Linked DNA regions of Drosophila melanogaster. The protein of the gene in region 1 interacts with the protein of each later gene in a pairwise test. Each region holds a gene or a part of one and is shown on either strand. Other genes may lie near its edges.

Region 1 (5,805 bases):
GAAGACCCTTAAGCACTGGCCCTGCAAGTTTCACCCTAATCACTACTCGGAGTCACTGAGGAATGGCAGCAACTTTAGCTCCGCACAACGCACATTTCACAAAAGGATCGGGCAATTGCTTGTGAGGCTCTCGCGGGATGTCAATGCCAATCGTCCGGTGGGCATCTGCGTGGATCCGCGACAACCCAGCATTGTGTCCATTGCTGGAACTGGTGAAGTTTGTAGGCCGCACGAGCACTGCTGCATGATGCTCGTCGATTTTGTGGCTCGCAGTCAAGAAGGAGGCGCCACAAAAACGGAGGTTACATTCACCGAAGATTTCAAGAAGGATACCACTCTGCGGGGTATTCCTAAAGCCTACTACGATTACCTGATGAACAATGAAGACTACAAAGACCTGACATTCGGAGCGGAAAAGTCGAGAGAATGCAAAGAAGTGGACGCAGTTCAAGGAGCAGATAACCTGGCCAAATTCGGACCCTATCTGTGCACCGGCTACGATATCTATCTGCTGCAGGAACCCTGCCTTATGTGCTCCATGGCCCTGGTACATAGCAGGGCGAAAAGAGTATTTTTCGTTAAGAACTCTGAAAACGGAGCTCTAGCCACGAGATTCCAACTGCATTCGGTGCGGGAACTCAACCATCACTACGAAGTGTTCCAGTTCACAACCAAGGAGGATGAAGACTTGACGTAACGTTTAACAAACCTTGGTTTTAATAAAGGATTTATAGGATATCTTCGATTTTCGGCGTTGTTTTGGCCGTCGACTGGCGGGTGGGCGTGGACAGGAGACCCAGCAAATGGCAATCTGCCTCTAGAATGGTAATATCCTTGGACGAACCCAGAAACTTGGTGGACAACTCCAAGTCCTTGATGCGCAGTCGAACACGGGCTCCTCGCACATAGTCGCTGAAGTAGGAAAGGCGGTTTATTGGATAAAGAGACAGGAAATTATATTGAACTCACCTGGCATTGCGTGTTGGACGACTGCAGACGCAGTGAAACTTCCAACCAAAGTCTATGTAGAGATCATCGCCCACCACATGAAAGATCTTGCCACTGACCACCTTGCCCTCGGCGTTGTCCAGCTGCTCCAGAAATCAACAAGTTATTACATAAACAATGGGATTACTTAAATAATGTACCCACATCAATTAATTTGGAGTTGCGCAGCAGGGAGGCGAAGGTCTGGTTGTCTTCCGGCAGCTGTGGAGGCGTGGCTGGTGCCGTGTACTTGTCGAAGGCACGGGCGAATCCTCCCTTGCTGCTGCCAATCTCCGCCGTTTCCGTATTCACTGCGGGAGTAGATTCCTCCGCCGGTTTTTCTGTGTTACCGCTGATAAGTCGAATGACCATTGGCATTCGGGAACGACAGGTTAATGAAGCCATCGGTACACCAGATCTGCTTAGTTTTTGCAAGAGCGACATGGTTTTAATTTAATATTGCTCAAAAATATCCACAAGAAAACCAAAACCAAGTGGAAAACCAAAGAAGAAGAGCGGCACCGATAGACTGCTAATCGATTATTAGCAGCTGCGTCGGCTCATCACTAATCGAATATTACAAAAAACACGCTGCCGGCATTTATTTTGATATTACGAAATCGGTTGTAAGACGTAGGTAATTAACAATTAAACAAGCAAAATGATCCAGCAACAGCGCCAGAAAATCGAGGCCGCGGTAACGGAGATGATCGACGACATGGACAAGACGCACCTGCGCAAAATGCAGGTAAGTGGAGTTCGCTTTAGGGGATATCCCGAAACTGACTTGCTTTTCACGAAATTCCAGAATGAGATGCACTTGTGTGCGGCCAAGTGCTGCCAGGATGGAACCTCCAGCGTGGACAGTGTCCAGAGATGTGTGGATCGATGCTCCGCGCCCATGACGAGGGCACAGAACTACGTTCAACACGAATTGGGCGAGTTCCAGGGCAGACTTCAACGTTGCGTCATGGTTAGTATCCATTGCACCAACTTTTTGCCCTGGTGGCTCTAAGAATAATAGAATATTATTAGGCAACGCTCATATTTCACATTCTCCTCTTCCGCAGCAATGCAACGACGATGTGAAGGTGAAAATGCCGCCCAGTCCCAATGAGGATCAGATAGCCAAGTACACCGACCAATTCGAGCGCTGTGCCATCCAGTGTGTGGACAAGCATGTGGGCCTCATTCCCGGCATGATGAAGACCATGAAGGCTGTGCTCTCCAAGGGACCCGAGAGCATTCCCCAAGTCTAACTCAACCTGCATTTACTACATAATTAGTTGTTGAATTCGTTTATTTTAAAACCGTGCAATGAGTCCCATCTCTGGAGTCATTTCAAATTTTGCTTTTAAGAATATAGAACAAAAATTACCTTATTAATTGTTGAAAGTCTTAAGCAGCAACCAACAACTGTTGTGCTAACAATCTTCGGAAGAATGTCAAGTTTTGCCATCAGTAAAAAAAATAAACATACTTTGTACACCGAAAACTGTCAATTCAACATTTTGTTTTGTTCTTTCGAAATTGTTCAAATTTTAAATTGAAATGGTGGAGCAACAAAAAAAGCGCTTGGAGGGCGCCATTAGCGAAATGATCGAGGACATGTACCGCACCCACTTGCGCAGAATGCAGGTGAGTGTGTGGCCTCCACTTGCCTACTATGAATTTCTGGTAAGAACGTTGTTTCCAAGTCCACGATGCACCGCTGTGCCGCCCGCTGCTGCGACGATGATCGAGGGACGCTGGAGAGCGTACAGAACTGCATCGAGAAGTGCGCCGGTCCCCTGATGGATGCCCAGGATTTCCTGCAGCACGAGCTGGGCCAATTCCAGAATAGACTTCAAAACTGCGTTAGGGTAGGAGCTTAAACTATAATTATAAATGCTTAATATTGGATTGATATATCCTATTTTTAATACGATTGCCAACCCGCAGGATTGCAACAGCGATGCGCGGTCTCAGATGCCCAGCAATCCGAGTGACCGGGACATGTCCCGATCCCAGCACATGTTTGAGAGTTGCACGAACAACTGTGTGGACAAGTACATAAACCTGATACCTGGTCTGCTCAAGTCGATCAAGCAAACACTGGACAGGGGTCCGCCGAAAAGATCACGCAACATGGATGTCTAACCGGGATGCAATTCAGGATCTGGTGACATTTAAAAAAGCACATTCAAGCAGTTGTCAATGGTTCACTTATTTATTGAATATTTTTGGTACAGCTAACACTTAAAGTACACTAATCGCTGCTGTGATCCGGGATAGCCAATGGATTGGAATGGGAACTTATCAGCGCCAACGTGGCCCTTGCTCGCCATGTTTGATAGCTCAGCTCCCGGATCTTCTTAGGCCCTAGCTCATTAAATATCTAGTAATAAAGATTCTTAGTATTATGCAACAATACGAGAGGCTATATTTTTAGGATCTTGATGGATCTACTGCTCGTTCTGCTTCGTCCTCACGCCGTATTTGCTCCAGAAGGTGACCTTGGCGGTGGTCTTCTTCAGGTTGTCCTGGAACACGGAGCACGTGTCGAAGGGTGGACAGTATAGGTGAAGGGAGACAGAGGTATCCGAATGGCTGGGGTTCTCCACGCGATGCAGACCCAGATTGTCTATGGATAACAAAACGAAAAAAAAAAAAACAGTAAGTATAGGAATACCCCACTTTTAAAGTTTCTAATTTTCTCACCATTTATGTAGGCCACATCATTGACGGCGATTGGTGTCTCCCCAATCTCCACCAGCTCTCGGCTATCGATCTCGCCATCGGGATGATGGGACCGGCCGTTGTCCCTGGCAGATCTATTGGGATACTCGTAGCGCTTCTCGCGCAGATCACCCTTCAGCATCTTCATGAAGCAATGGGAATCGGCATGGTCGTGCACCGAGGAGCCGTGTCCTTCGCCCCAGCACAGAATCAGCAGATTGAACTTTCCATTGCCAGCATCCACGAGATTCCGCGTGTAGGTGTAACGATCGAACTTGGCATATTTGCGCCACTCCCGCGGATTGGACTTGTAGCTGAGCATAAGGTGATTCACCATCTCGATGTTAACATAGTTCGACTCGAATTCCCGGTGAAGGGCGGCCACCAAGTCCGATAGGGAATTCACCTCCGGTCCGTATTTCAGGGGTTTCTCCAGCGGCTGATAGTAGCTAGTGGCCTGACGCAGGTACTTCTCCTGGTCAACCTGCTCGATCTCGGTGTCGATCTTGGACAGGGCCATTTTGGGCTTGCTCTGATTGACCTAGGTTGCGAAAAGGGAAGCGGAAGTTAGAGTGGTGGTGCATCAGTTGAGGCTGAAGGGCGTGGAAAACTACCTATAAAGTCTATAAAGATCACTGCTCAATTGATTTAGATGAATTACGTTGTAAAGTCGATGATCGCTGATAATAGCTATTGGTATATATATATATGAATATTCCGATTCGTTGCTGTTACAATTGATTGAATTGCTTCGACTAACCGCACACGCTCCACCTCGGATCGCAAAATTCGAACTGAATTCTGGAGATTTCGCTCTCCTGTCCAGGCTGCATAATCAGCTCGGATCCGACGTAAATCGGAGGCGCAAGTCCAAAACAATAACAAAAACAAGAAGTCGCCGGCGATAACCGTCCATCCAACTTATCAATAGCAGATTTTACCAATACCCTCGGCTATATAATACACGTATTTCTCAGTAGATGATGATAGATCGAATGTTGCCAGGAGGGGCTCAACAGATGTGCCTGAATTTGAGACAAGAGGTTAACGGCGATCTAATGGGATCGTTTGGCAAATAAAAAACAAATTTATTCCACAATATACTCTGGAGCCGACAATAAAAAATATTTGGGCGATACGGGCATTGTCACTGATACGTTAATATACCAATTGATAACTGATAGCTGGTTGAATCTGGATGCTGACGAATTTGCTTTCAAGATCTGCGGGTCTTACCAGCCGGGATTTTCCCGCAAATTCATTTGAAAAAAAGAACCGCGACTTTCTCTAGTTTTGGATTATAGTTAACCGAAACACTTTGAGATACTTTTTGTTTCGAGAAAGTATTGCCTACTTTCAGGTTCGTTACAGATTTCTCTCAATTGCCTGCCATTTGTCAGCAGATCAGTCGTGTCTTTGTTACTCAGGAAGTTAATTAGTGACTAACACACTGACCTTACTTTCTCCATTAAAATGTTAAACAAAGAAAATGATTCTGTCATTGTTTCTCCTAACACGATATGAATTGAACTCATAAATTTAATTATATAACTTCAGGTGAAAACTCGAAATAAATAAAACACTTGAGCTTGCATTAAAGGTAATAACTTTTTTACGATCCCCATGCAATGTTGTTAAATCTTTTCCCCTTGGTGCCACATCAAGGTATTTGAAAAATGTTTTGCAATGGCCAAAAAGCATAAACTGCCAAGCTGGCAGCCAACTTTCGCAACAGGTTAAGGCCAATAGCAAAGTCAAAGCAAAAACTAAAAGCTGCGAACTGCCATTTGCGTAAATATTATGCGAACAAATAGCTTGGAAAATTGGTGAAAAGCAGTTGCCAATTTTCGAAACAGTTCAACAAACTACGATTTAAGTTTGATTTTCTGATTTTCGTACAATTTCAGCAGGGAAAGGGATTTGAAGGATAAAGGACTTACCATTTTGTTTGACTTCTTGGAATTTCTCTCTTAGCTATGGCAACTGAATAATTTTTTATGAACTTGAAATTCACTTTTTAAAAACACTTTTAATTTCAGGACTTGGTATTGCACTTTTTCGACTTTTCACTGGGTAGTTGCCACTTGGATGCGCGTCGCC
Region 2 (5,119 bases), on another chromosome or scaffold:
GGCAAGTTTCAAGGTGAGTATAAGGAGTATATAAATAAAGACAAGAAAATGGCTGGGAATTGATTTGATATTGATTTTAAAAAATGCCTTTCTTAACATTGTCTTTATTGTCTAAATAATGGCTCGCCGACTTACTTTTAAAAACCCCTCCTACAGCTTACTACTTGATCAGTCTTACTTAAGGTACTTAAATAAATCTAAATCTTAAGTAAGCTAATTATCTGCAGCTTGTAGGGTCCGAAAAGGCTTATTTCTGTTTTATTTTTATTAACCAAACTAGCAATCCCTTATACTCTACGAGTAACTGATATAATAATAATAATAATTGTGATTATAATACTTTCTCATTTAGGAGTTCATGGTGCCTATGAATATCTTGTTAAACGAATCTGTGTGGCAAACGAATACTCAAGAGTACGCCAAGTACTTCATACCAATTGGAGACCGCGGATATAATTCTCAATCATCTACATCAGGAGTTACAAGGAATGGCATTATGTTTTTTACACAAGTTCATCAAGATGATATTGGATGCTGGGATACATCGAAACCATACACTCGAGCACATTTGGGAAAATTTCATAATATGGAAAACTCAAATCTTATTCAATTTCCAAATGATTTAAAAGTAGACAAAGAAAAAGATCAAAATGTATGGCTTATAAGTAACCGACTACCAATTTTTCTATACAGCAATCTAGATTATGGAGAAGTAAATTTTCGAATTTTAAAGGCGAATGTAAATAAGATTATTCGCAATAGTGTTTGCAATCCGGATAATAGTTATATTAATACATCAAAGTCAGCTTTTGTGTTGATAGAAGAAGGACAGTGTTTTTGAAAACTATGGTAAATAAACAATTACACAACAAAATGTTGTAAATTTTTGAACAACCTTGGTATTTGCGTCCGTTACAAATGATACTCTAGTACCTTTTTTGAAGGTTTGGGTCTAACAGATTTTTGCGCTTTGTTGTGTCCAAGCAATTAACTAAATTGACTAAAAGAATAACAGTTTTTAAACGTGTACGAGTTCCAAATTGGCATAAGATCGGACTTTTAAGAACATACGTATCTAAAATTAGCTTTCTAGCTTTTAAAATTTTAAAGATCACGAAATTAAAATGGACGTACATTGCTAGATCAACTTGGCTTGCGATTCTGCTCGAATATTCGAAGTATATTCTTTATGGGTCAGCAGTTCTTCCCTCCGCCATTCTAGTTTTCAACGAATGAATATTAGGGTTCAAATTCAAACGTGTATACAATTGTTTGTAATATATTTATATTTTTTAGTCGTACTGTGAAAGGTTATATCCAATTGTAAGAAGTAACAGGTAGGGAGCGTGTTCTTTCTTCTATTGTATCTTCAAGTTCGTGTTATCGTCATTAGTTTCCTCTGAAAGTGGTTTGATTTTGGGTGTACTTAATATAACATCTCTAAAAGAGAATATTACTATCTATAAAGAAATATCGAACATCAATGGATATATGTATATTCATGTTACAGTATTTTCTCGAGATATTACTTTGAATATAATCAAATTTGGGCGATGTTAACTTAAAGATGGTTCGCACTTTACTCATTCGTAAATTTAAGTTTTAAAAACAAGGTATGTATGTAAGTGCATATAAGACACTGCGACTTATAACTATAAAAATAGTAAATAAAGTACTCCGTTCCAATAAAAGGGGCTCTCATCGATGCGCTTGTTTGCCGAACAAAGATGCTGTATACATACGTATAAATTTACGAGAAAATATTTTTGTATTTGTGAAAATAAATGTATTTGTGTGTGACTTTTAAATACACATTTCCCAAATTGCTGTATGCGAACGAGCCGATAATCAAGTAAATAAGCATGTGGACAGTGTGGAAGCTATCTTTGATGTGCAATCATATTCTTAAAGGCAGGCGCATGAATTCATGTTCATTCTATTGGCCTATACGGATTTTAGTTGTATTATTATCTTTCAATAATTCGATACTACAGTATTGTTTGCAGTAAATATTTTTTTAAACAAATAACATTGGGAAATAGGCAAGTGAAAAGATATATTTGATATATGTACGTGTAAATTATTATTATGGATATTAAAAAAAAGAAAAGTTAGTGTGGTCGAAGAGAAATTAACATTCATGTTGTATATGCTTCTCACTATGTATTACATAATAACAGCACCAACGAACATTATTTGAGTGTCTCTATATGTATTTACATTCAGCATAAAATGCGATATTTTATAACTGAGTGTGTTGCATGTGCTTTATTATAAATTACACCCTTATGTAATAATAATAATGCAGGACCTGCCTACCTGTTGAGACGATACAAATATAAATTCCTTTCTCTACATTTTATTATTATTTTATAGATTTGTACAGCTTTTAGATATGGATTCTACTTTAAATATTGAGGTAAGTCAAAAAACAATATTTAATTAATTAATATAAATATAATATTCACCTATAAAAAATTCAAAGTGCTTAGATTTTTTACAAGATTTTTTACATCTTTTACATTGTTATACATTTACTTTTGACAATTTTCTCAGAGAGAAAATGGTAATACATTTATTTAAATAAATTATTGTAATTATTAACTAAATATACCGTTTACGTTTTTTGCCATCATTTTTAATGTAAATAATAGTAATATTACCATTTAATAAATAGATAGAAATAAACTTTACAAACTCATATTTTCTACAATCTAAAGGAGAAAGAAATTGCTACAAAAAATGAAACCCAAATAGATTACGCTGATGAGATTAAAACTACTCCCCAAGATAATGATAATCTCAATGAAAAACTCTTGGTATCTTATATTGACAGTGGTTTTGATAAACCCGTCACTTCAAGAGATAATAAAGATGATGACGATCTAAAAATTGAAGAAAGCGAATCTGAAGACTGTAATTCAGAGAAAAAAAATACAACAGATTTGGAAGTAAACCCAGCTGCACTAATTGACAAGCCGTCTTTAGATATTAGCTCATCGGATATGGAGAGAACTGTTGAGATAGAAGACTCCGAATCCAATAACCCTATTATTATAGATGCATCTATTAAAACGGACCCATTAATATCTGTGGAAAATTTGTCCACCGTTTCTGAGAATAATTTCGAGTTGGACTTAATAGATGGGAGTACTAATGGTGAAAATTCATCGAATGCGGAAAACGAATCACCTGTTCAAGACACGTCGAACATTCTAATTAAAGGCGAAGATGATAAAGCTATCGAAAATTGCAAATCACAGGATACCACTAAATCTTCGTCGGAAAAAGTATTTGTATTTTTAAGAATAACAGACCTAAATTATCGCCTTCAAGCTTCAAAAATGTTTTTTATTTAACATAATATTTATAAAGAAAAAGTAAAGCAAATGTTGCCCTAACTTACCATATACCCTGCAAAGGCTACATTTATTTTTTACTTCATAAAGTCTAAATGTGTATTTGTAACTTAGTAACTTAGTCCAGGTACTTGGATCTAAGTCAATAATATTTAAAACATGATTTAGGTAAAAAAAAAATATTGTTGAAACGTTTTTATATTTTTAAAGAAATTCTAACAAGTTTAAGGAATTAATGTCCTGATTACTCGTAATCTTCAAAATCAGATAAAAGGCGGAATGGATTAGGATCTCTTTTAGAATTGTTGTCGCCATTTCCGCCTGTTTGTCCATTTAAACTTCAAGATATATATGAATATGAATATGCACTTTCAGCATTCTGATACCAGTGACATTTCTGCAAGTTGGTTTTAAAAGATTGGCCCTCATACTCCAACGTTCATCAACCGCGGAAACTGTCATCCCCACACTTTTGCATATTCTAAACCGGTTACTCGTGAAGTAAAAGGGTATACTAGATCTTTGATCAATATGTAACAGTCAGAAGGAAGCGTTTCCAACCATATAAAGTATATATATTCTTGATCTGGATCGATAGCCGAGTCGATCTGGAAGTGTCCACCTGTATGAAAGTTGACATCTCAGGAACTAAAAAAGCTAGAAGGTTGAGATTAAGCATACAATTTTTGTCTGTATACCAAAAACACTGTTGTCCGCCCATTTTTTCACCTACAAAACTATCAAAACGGACGCGCCCACATTTTTAAACAATGTTAAATTTTTTTTCTCATTTTATTCCCCAATATCTATTGATATCCAATAATAATTATAAAATTTCGGCTTCGCATTCACACTAGTTGAGTAACGGGTATCTGATAGTCGGCGAACTCGACTATAGCATTCTCTCTTGTTTTAAAGTGCGTTTTAAAAAATAATGTTGGAAATAGTCAAGCTTTATAACTATGTGCTTTTCGGAACCGGATACGGATAGGGGAACTACTCAGATATATACGAAAAACTCTGACTCTGCATGGGTATTAATCTAGGTATAACGCTTATATTTGAGCACAAGCAAATAATTATTTAAGCTTCTGCAGTTCTGCAGAGTAAATTTTGTCAAACATAAGGCAAAAGCCTACGACTCTTTGAACTGTGTTGTTTAATTGCATATGTTTAATATTATAATTGATTTATTAATTATTGTATGATTTGGTTTAAAATTTTGGAACATTCATTCAGCTGCACTTCATTATTTTAATACGCAGCTTACAAAAGTTTACTTACAGCTTCGTGCAAATCATACATTATCAATTTCGATTAGATCTTTAAAGTGTACTTTATTTTTAGAATGTCAATGACCCAACATCCATTGCATCTGATTTATCGGCCGAAAACACTAAAGCAGACCTTGTTTCGCTAAATGAACCGGTAAGTAAGACTATACACAGTTTTATAGCTCATTTCAATACAAATTCATGTGTAATTATTAAAAAATATAAACACGTCTTCATATTAACTTTTGTGACGTTACATTTTTAAAATATATATAACATTTTTGGCGGTTTTCGGGCATTTGGGTGGGCATAATTGTTACCGATAGAAATCGGAAAGACATATGATAAAATTAAAAAAAAAACTGTGGGTCTGGCAACACCAGAAAAGAAACTTGTGGGCGTGACTGTTTTGGGCGGCTTGTGGGCGTTAGAGTGGGCGTGCAACAAAAAGAAACAAACTCGTGCTGCGTCTGTCAATGAAATCTG
Region 3 (4,640 bases), on another chromosome or scaffold:
CAAGCAGCCGTGCAGAAACTCAACATCGTACACGTTTAGCTCATCCATTCTGAAGGGTGAAGGGATACATTATTTTGGAGCTTAATACAGCTTCAATCATAAAACATTTACTAGTTACTTACTAGTAACTAGTAGTGAATGAAAAAATGAAAATGATTCATTAAAAATACAAAACAGGGTAAAACATGATAAGGCGCCGATGTCATGCTCACACGTATTTGTCAAACTACTATAGAATTCACCGGAATTACCTAAGATTTGTGGCTTTCAGCTCGCTAGCATCCTTGTCCATCGGAATGATGGTGAACAGCCCCTGGTAAAGGCACATTCCGATGACCCTAGCCTTGGGATCGATGGCCGCAATAACTCCTCCTTCGGAGGGGATGCCCACCGAGTCGGAAACATTACCATTGGCCTTGGTCACCACCGTGATGACGTCGTTGACCATACGGGCCTCGAGGATCATGACGTTGTAACGACGCGTCAGTATGAAGAGCAAATCCTTGTTGCTGTCGGGCGGTCGGAAGTGGCGCATCACGGCAATGGTGCCATTTATGTTGATCTCTTTTAGGGGGCGCAGTCCCTCCGGCGTGACCAGATCGATTTCCACCTGATTGTTCCGGGCAATGATCAAATTGAGATCCGTGGGCGAGGTGAAGTTGCCTGAGGAGCATACCAAAGAAGCCGGTGCTAAGCAAACAAATCTGTTTCATGGGCTTGTGTAATCCGGCGACCGGCAAACATGCTTGTTTTCTGTTTTCGCCGGGGGAGACCGCATAGGGAGCCCCTCTCTTTCACACGCTCTCTTGTTCTTACCTGTTAGGCAGGCAACAACGGCCGTCGGCTTTTGCGCCGTCACCACGTAGTGATGCGACATGACTGCACACTGTCCAGGATCAGGTTATCCTTAATTCGATAGAGCTCTTCAACTTTGGACTAGTCAGCCGCCACGAGGATAAAAATCGTTTTCGCTGACTTTTAACGCGCTAAAATGTTTCCTGACACGTAGTGTGACCGTTCAACTGTTAAGAACTAATACTGTCCGGCTCAGGAAAATATACTTTTTATTTTGGAAGGTATTCCATTTATGTTCAATATAAATTATGTTGCAGAGAGCGCGTGGATTTTATAAGCTTGTTTTGATTCTTGTACAAGCAAATGACACATTTAAGATTTCCATAAAAGTCTAGAAGATCATTTACAGTCATCGCATAAGCCAGAAAAAAACGAATATCGATATGTGTTGTGTTGCCCCAACTCTCTCTTTTGGCAAGAAAAATCGATTTCGTTTCTTTGCAGCTCTGGGACGCCTTCAAATTGCGGTTAAACTGAAACTGTTTGAAAATAGCTTTTGTAATAAGTGCCTTTAATACCACTATTACCCACACTTTACTTAAATTTCTAAAGCAATCATTGTTATTACATGACAGATTGTTCAGATATTCCCCTACAAGTTATTTACTTGTTTACTTATTTTCTTGTATTGAATACGTATAATTAAATATAATATACTAATTAAAAATAAATAACGAAGACAAGAGAAAATGTCTAAAATAGAAATGAGCTTAATTTAAGTAAATAAATTATATAGCCTTATCTCTAGGGGCGTTGTTTGTTTTGGTTTTTTATTATTATACATATGTTCCTCATGTTCAATAAGTCCACGAAAACGAGCTAAACCTAATCTATACACATTACTGACCTGACCTTACCTGTATTAGTGATAAGAAAGCCGGCCGAACCGGTTCTCTTTAGTAAATGCTTTAAGAGAGTATAAAGATAAGTATCTCCGAGAGAGCCCCAATATATAAAGCTCCCGCTCAACATCGTTTGATATTCAGTTTGCCGCTGTTCTTCGACCCACAACAACCGCCAAGCAATGTCCAATAAAAGTAAGAAAAACAAGAGACGTATATGTACACATTGTACTGCAAACACATGCCCTGAATCTTTGATAAAGACAATCCCGAGCAATTTTGATAATTGAATTGTTATTCCCAAGCCTGTTGCCGAGGACCGGGTTACGCAACCCCCCTGGACGCCATGAGGAGTGGTCCCCGGGAGAAGCTCCTCTACACGGTCACCGTTCAGCCCAACTTGGATGAGCCGCACGGCGATTATCTGTCCACAGTCGACGTGGATCCCGAGAGCCCCACCTACTGTCAGGTAAATAAATCAGGTATCTACACTATTCGATCATTTATCTTGCGGGACAAACAATACTATGTACTTAATAATTAGCTCAATTGGATTTTATATCAATGGATTTATAGCAATCACTTTCGAATATATGTATATTTCCAATTCGGATATTTGTATTACAGATTCCATATTTACATCATTATTAACATCATTTTGCAGATAGTGCACCGTACGTTTACAAATCGCAAGGGTGATGAACTGCATCATTCTGGCTGGAACGCCTGCTCCAGTTGTTACTATGTCGACGAGAGCTCTAAGACGGTGCCAAAAAGAGATAGGCTGGTATTACCGTCCCTAAATTCCGACTTTATATACATACTCGATGTGGTTACGGATCCGCGAAAGCCCGAGATTGTCAAGACCATTGATGGTGATGTCTTGAAGAGCCACAATGTGACGGCTCCGCATACCACACACTGTTTGGCCAATGGGAACATCATGATATCCGTGATGGGCGATGCAGAGGGATATGCCAAGGGTGACTTTATCCTCTTCGATTCGGACTTCAATTGCATCGGTACTTGGACCAAGGGCGATAAGAAGGCATTGTGCGGATACGATTTCTGGTATCAGCCATATTTCGATGTCATGGTTTCTTCGGAATGGGGAGCTCCCAATAAATGGCGACGGTTAGTCTCGATATAACCACTAAATACATAGTTTATCATAATATTTGTCAACCTTTTTTTCAGAGGCTGGAAGAATGTTGACCTGGAGGATATGTCTCAGTACGGCTGTCGTCTCAACTTCTACAAATGGTCCACGCAGACTCTCTACCAGACCATCGACCTGGGATCGGATGGCATAACGCCCCTGGAGATTCGATTTCTGCACAATCCTAAGAAGGCAGAGGGATTCGTGGGATGTGCCCTCAATGCCAAGGTGTTCCACTTTAAGAAGAAATCAGATTCCGATGAATTTGAAGCCAAGAAGGTAATAGACATACCCGGCAAACTGGTCGATACCGGCAGTGGAGTAGCTGAAGATATGGGTGGCATGATTTCGGACATTATCATCTCTTTGGACGACCGATTTCTATATGTCAACTGTTGGCGACATGGCGATGTGAGACAATATGATATCACCGATCCCGAGAATCCGAAGCTGACTGGTCAGCTTTTCCTTGGCGGTGCGATATGCAGTGATTTGCCAAATGTGATTGTTAAGGAGGATAAAGAACTGAAGGTACACAGATGCGATATTGCTATATAACTCGTACTATAACCAGGCCTTTTCTTCATTTTCAGGAGAGACCTCCAGCTCGTTACGTGAAGGGACGTCGCTTGGAAGGAGGTCCCCAAATGCTGCAGCTATCCCTCGATGGCAAGCGCTTGTATGTCTCCTCATCTCTGTATTCGCCATGGGATAAGCAGGTAAGATCTTAACCAGGATCACTCTATATATATATTTTTTTAAATATAATTAACTCCCAATCTCTTTAGTTCTATCCAAAAATGGTTTCGCAGGGCGGTCATATTGTCCTGATTGATGTGGACACTGTGAATGGAGGAATTTCCCTCAATGAGGACTTTTTGGTGGACTTCGCCAATGAACCCTATGGTCCTAGTTTGCCCCACGAAATGCGTTATCCTGGCGGTGATTGCACATCGGACATTTGGCTGGCTAATGATGCGTAATCTTGATTCCAATTTTGTAAAGATTTAATAAACTCATTCTTTTAAAGGTATACATTATTATTTTGGAGACATCTCCATTCTCTACTCCATCACTAGTCACGGATATCGCCATTAGCTGATAAGTTTGCCATATTCAAAACACGTTTCTGATTGGCTAAAAATAATTTATGCGCATTGTTTAAAACGTTATATGGTTGGCAAATGATTTCATGATTAACGGTCACATATAATTTCATTCTGAAAATGTTTATGATTTTTATATATCAATATAATTAAAACAAAAAGGAAGTTTTAGGTGTCCTATCCACAGCTTGTAGTATCGCATTGACACTGGGAAGACCTATCAGATTCAACAATCGTTGGCCACTGCAATTAAATAATTAATAATTATATATATTAACATAAGGCTTACTAACTTGTTATCACACGTGCAGTCTATGAAACTCCGGGCCATCTCATTGAGATGCCTTTGGTGGTAGAAGAAAATGTGCACCAGGTATGCCAGACTACAGGGTATCAGCAGTCTAGCCCAGGGAATCTTTCGCACTGCAGATAGAACCGAATCCTTTTCATCTTTAGTATTGCACACCTGGCTCCAAATCACCTGGATGGCAGTTACAATTGCAAAACACATGAATGTGAGACGATTTGATAGAAGAGCAAACGACGAACCGCTTATAAAGGAAGCCAGAGCATTGGCTTGATTTACATTCAATCTTTTCAATAAAAGTAATTGAACCACCTAAAAAATATTGTATATTTAGCTAGAAAGTTACACTTTGTACTTTTGCAACAACTAAC

The links.
Region 2: the proteins of CG5327 (region 1) and CG1674 interact in a two-hybrid assay, tested with the Drosophila melanogaster proteins (one large-scale study listed by BioGRID).
Region 3: the proteins of CG5327 (region 1) and CG7966 interact in a two-hybrid assay, tested with the Drosophila melanogaster proteins (one large-scale study listed by BioGRID).

The regions. Positions count from the first base shown.
Region 1 is NT_033778.4:18,613,513-18,619,317, forward strand, and holds CG5327 (uncharacterized protein), read left to right. Parts: upstream 1-2,475; 5' UTR 2,476-2,538; coding exon 2,539-2,625; intron 2,626-2,684; coding exon 2,685-2,849; intron 2,850-2,928; coding exon 2,929-3,126; 3' UTR 3,127-3,431; coding exon of another isoform or gene 3,432-3,610; 3' UTR 3,611-3,642; intron 3,643-3,687; coding exon of another isoform or gene 3,688-4,225; 3' UTR 4,226-4,805; downstream 4,806-5,805. Other genes in the region: CG10927 (uncharacterized protein), read left to right, coding at 1-697; mRpS28 (mitochondrial ribosomal protein S28), read right to left, coding at 729-912, 970-1,091, 1,153-1,431; CG5323 (uncharacterized protein), read left to right, coding at 1,649-1,735, 1,796-1,960, 2,058-2,246; CG5493 (uncharacterized protein), read right to left, coding at 3,432-3,610, 3,688-4,225.
Region 2 is NC_004353.4:229,559-234,677, forward strand, and holds the start of CG1674 (uncharacterized protein), read left to right. Parts: upstream 1-1,867; 5' UTR 1,868-2,042; exon of another isoform or gene 2,043-2,069; intron 2,070-2,291; exon of another isoform or gene 2,292-2,376; 5' UTR 2,377-2,395; coding exon 2,396-2,419; intron 2,420-2,720; coding exon of another isoform or gene 2,721-3,290; intron 3,291-4,706; coding exon 4,707-4,787; intron 4,788-5,119. Other genes in the region: yellow-h, read left to right, coding at 1-13, 353-841.
Region 3 is NT_033777.3:13,048,646-13,053,285, reverse strand, and holds CG7966 (uncharacterized protein), read left to right. Parts: upstream 1-1,832; 5' UTR 1,833-1,879; coding exon 1,880-1,892; intron 1,893-2,002; coding exon 2,003-2,166; intron 2,167-2,361; coding exon 2,362-2,831; intron 2,832-2,894; coding exon 2,895-3,387; intron 3,388-3,449; coding exon 3,450-3,575; intron 3,576-3,644; coding exon 3,645-3,839; 3' UTR 3,840-3,888; downstream 3,889-4,640. Other genes in the region: pic (piccolo), read right to left, coding at 1-49, 252-663, 817-877; CG31157 (uncharacterized protein), read right to left, coding at 4,112-4,205, 4,256-4,581.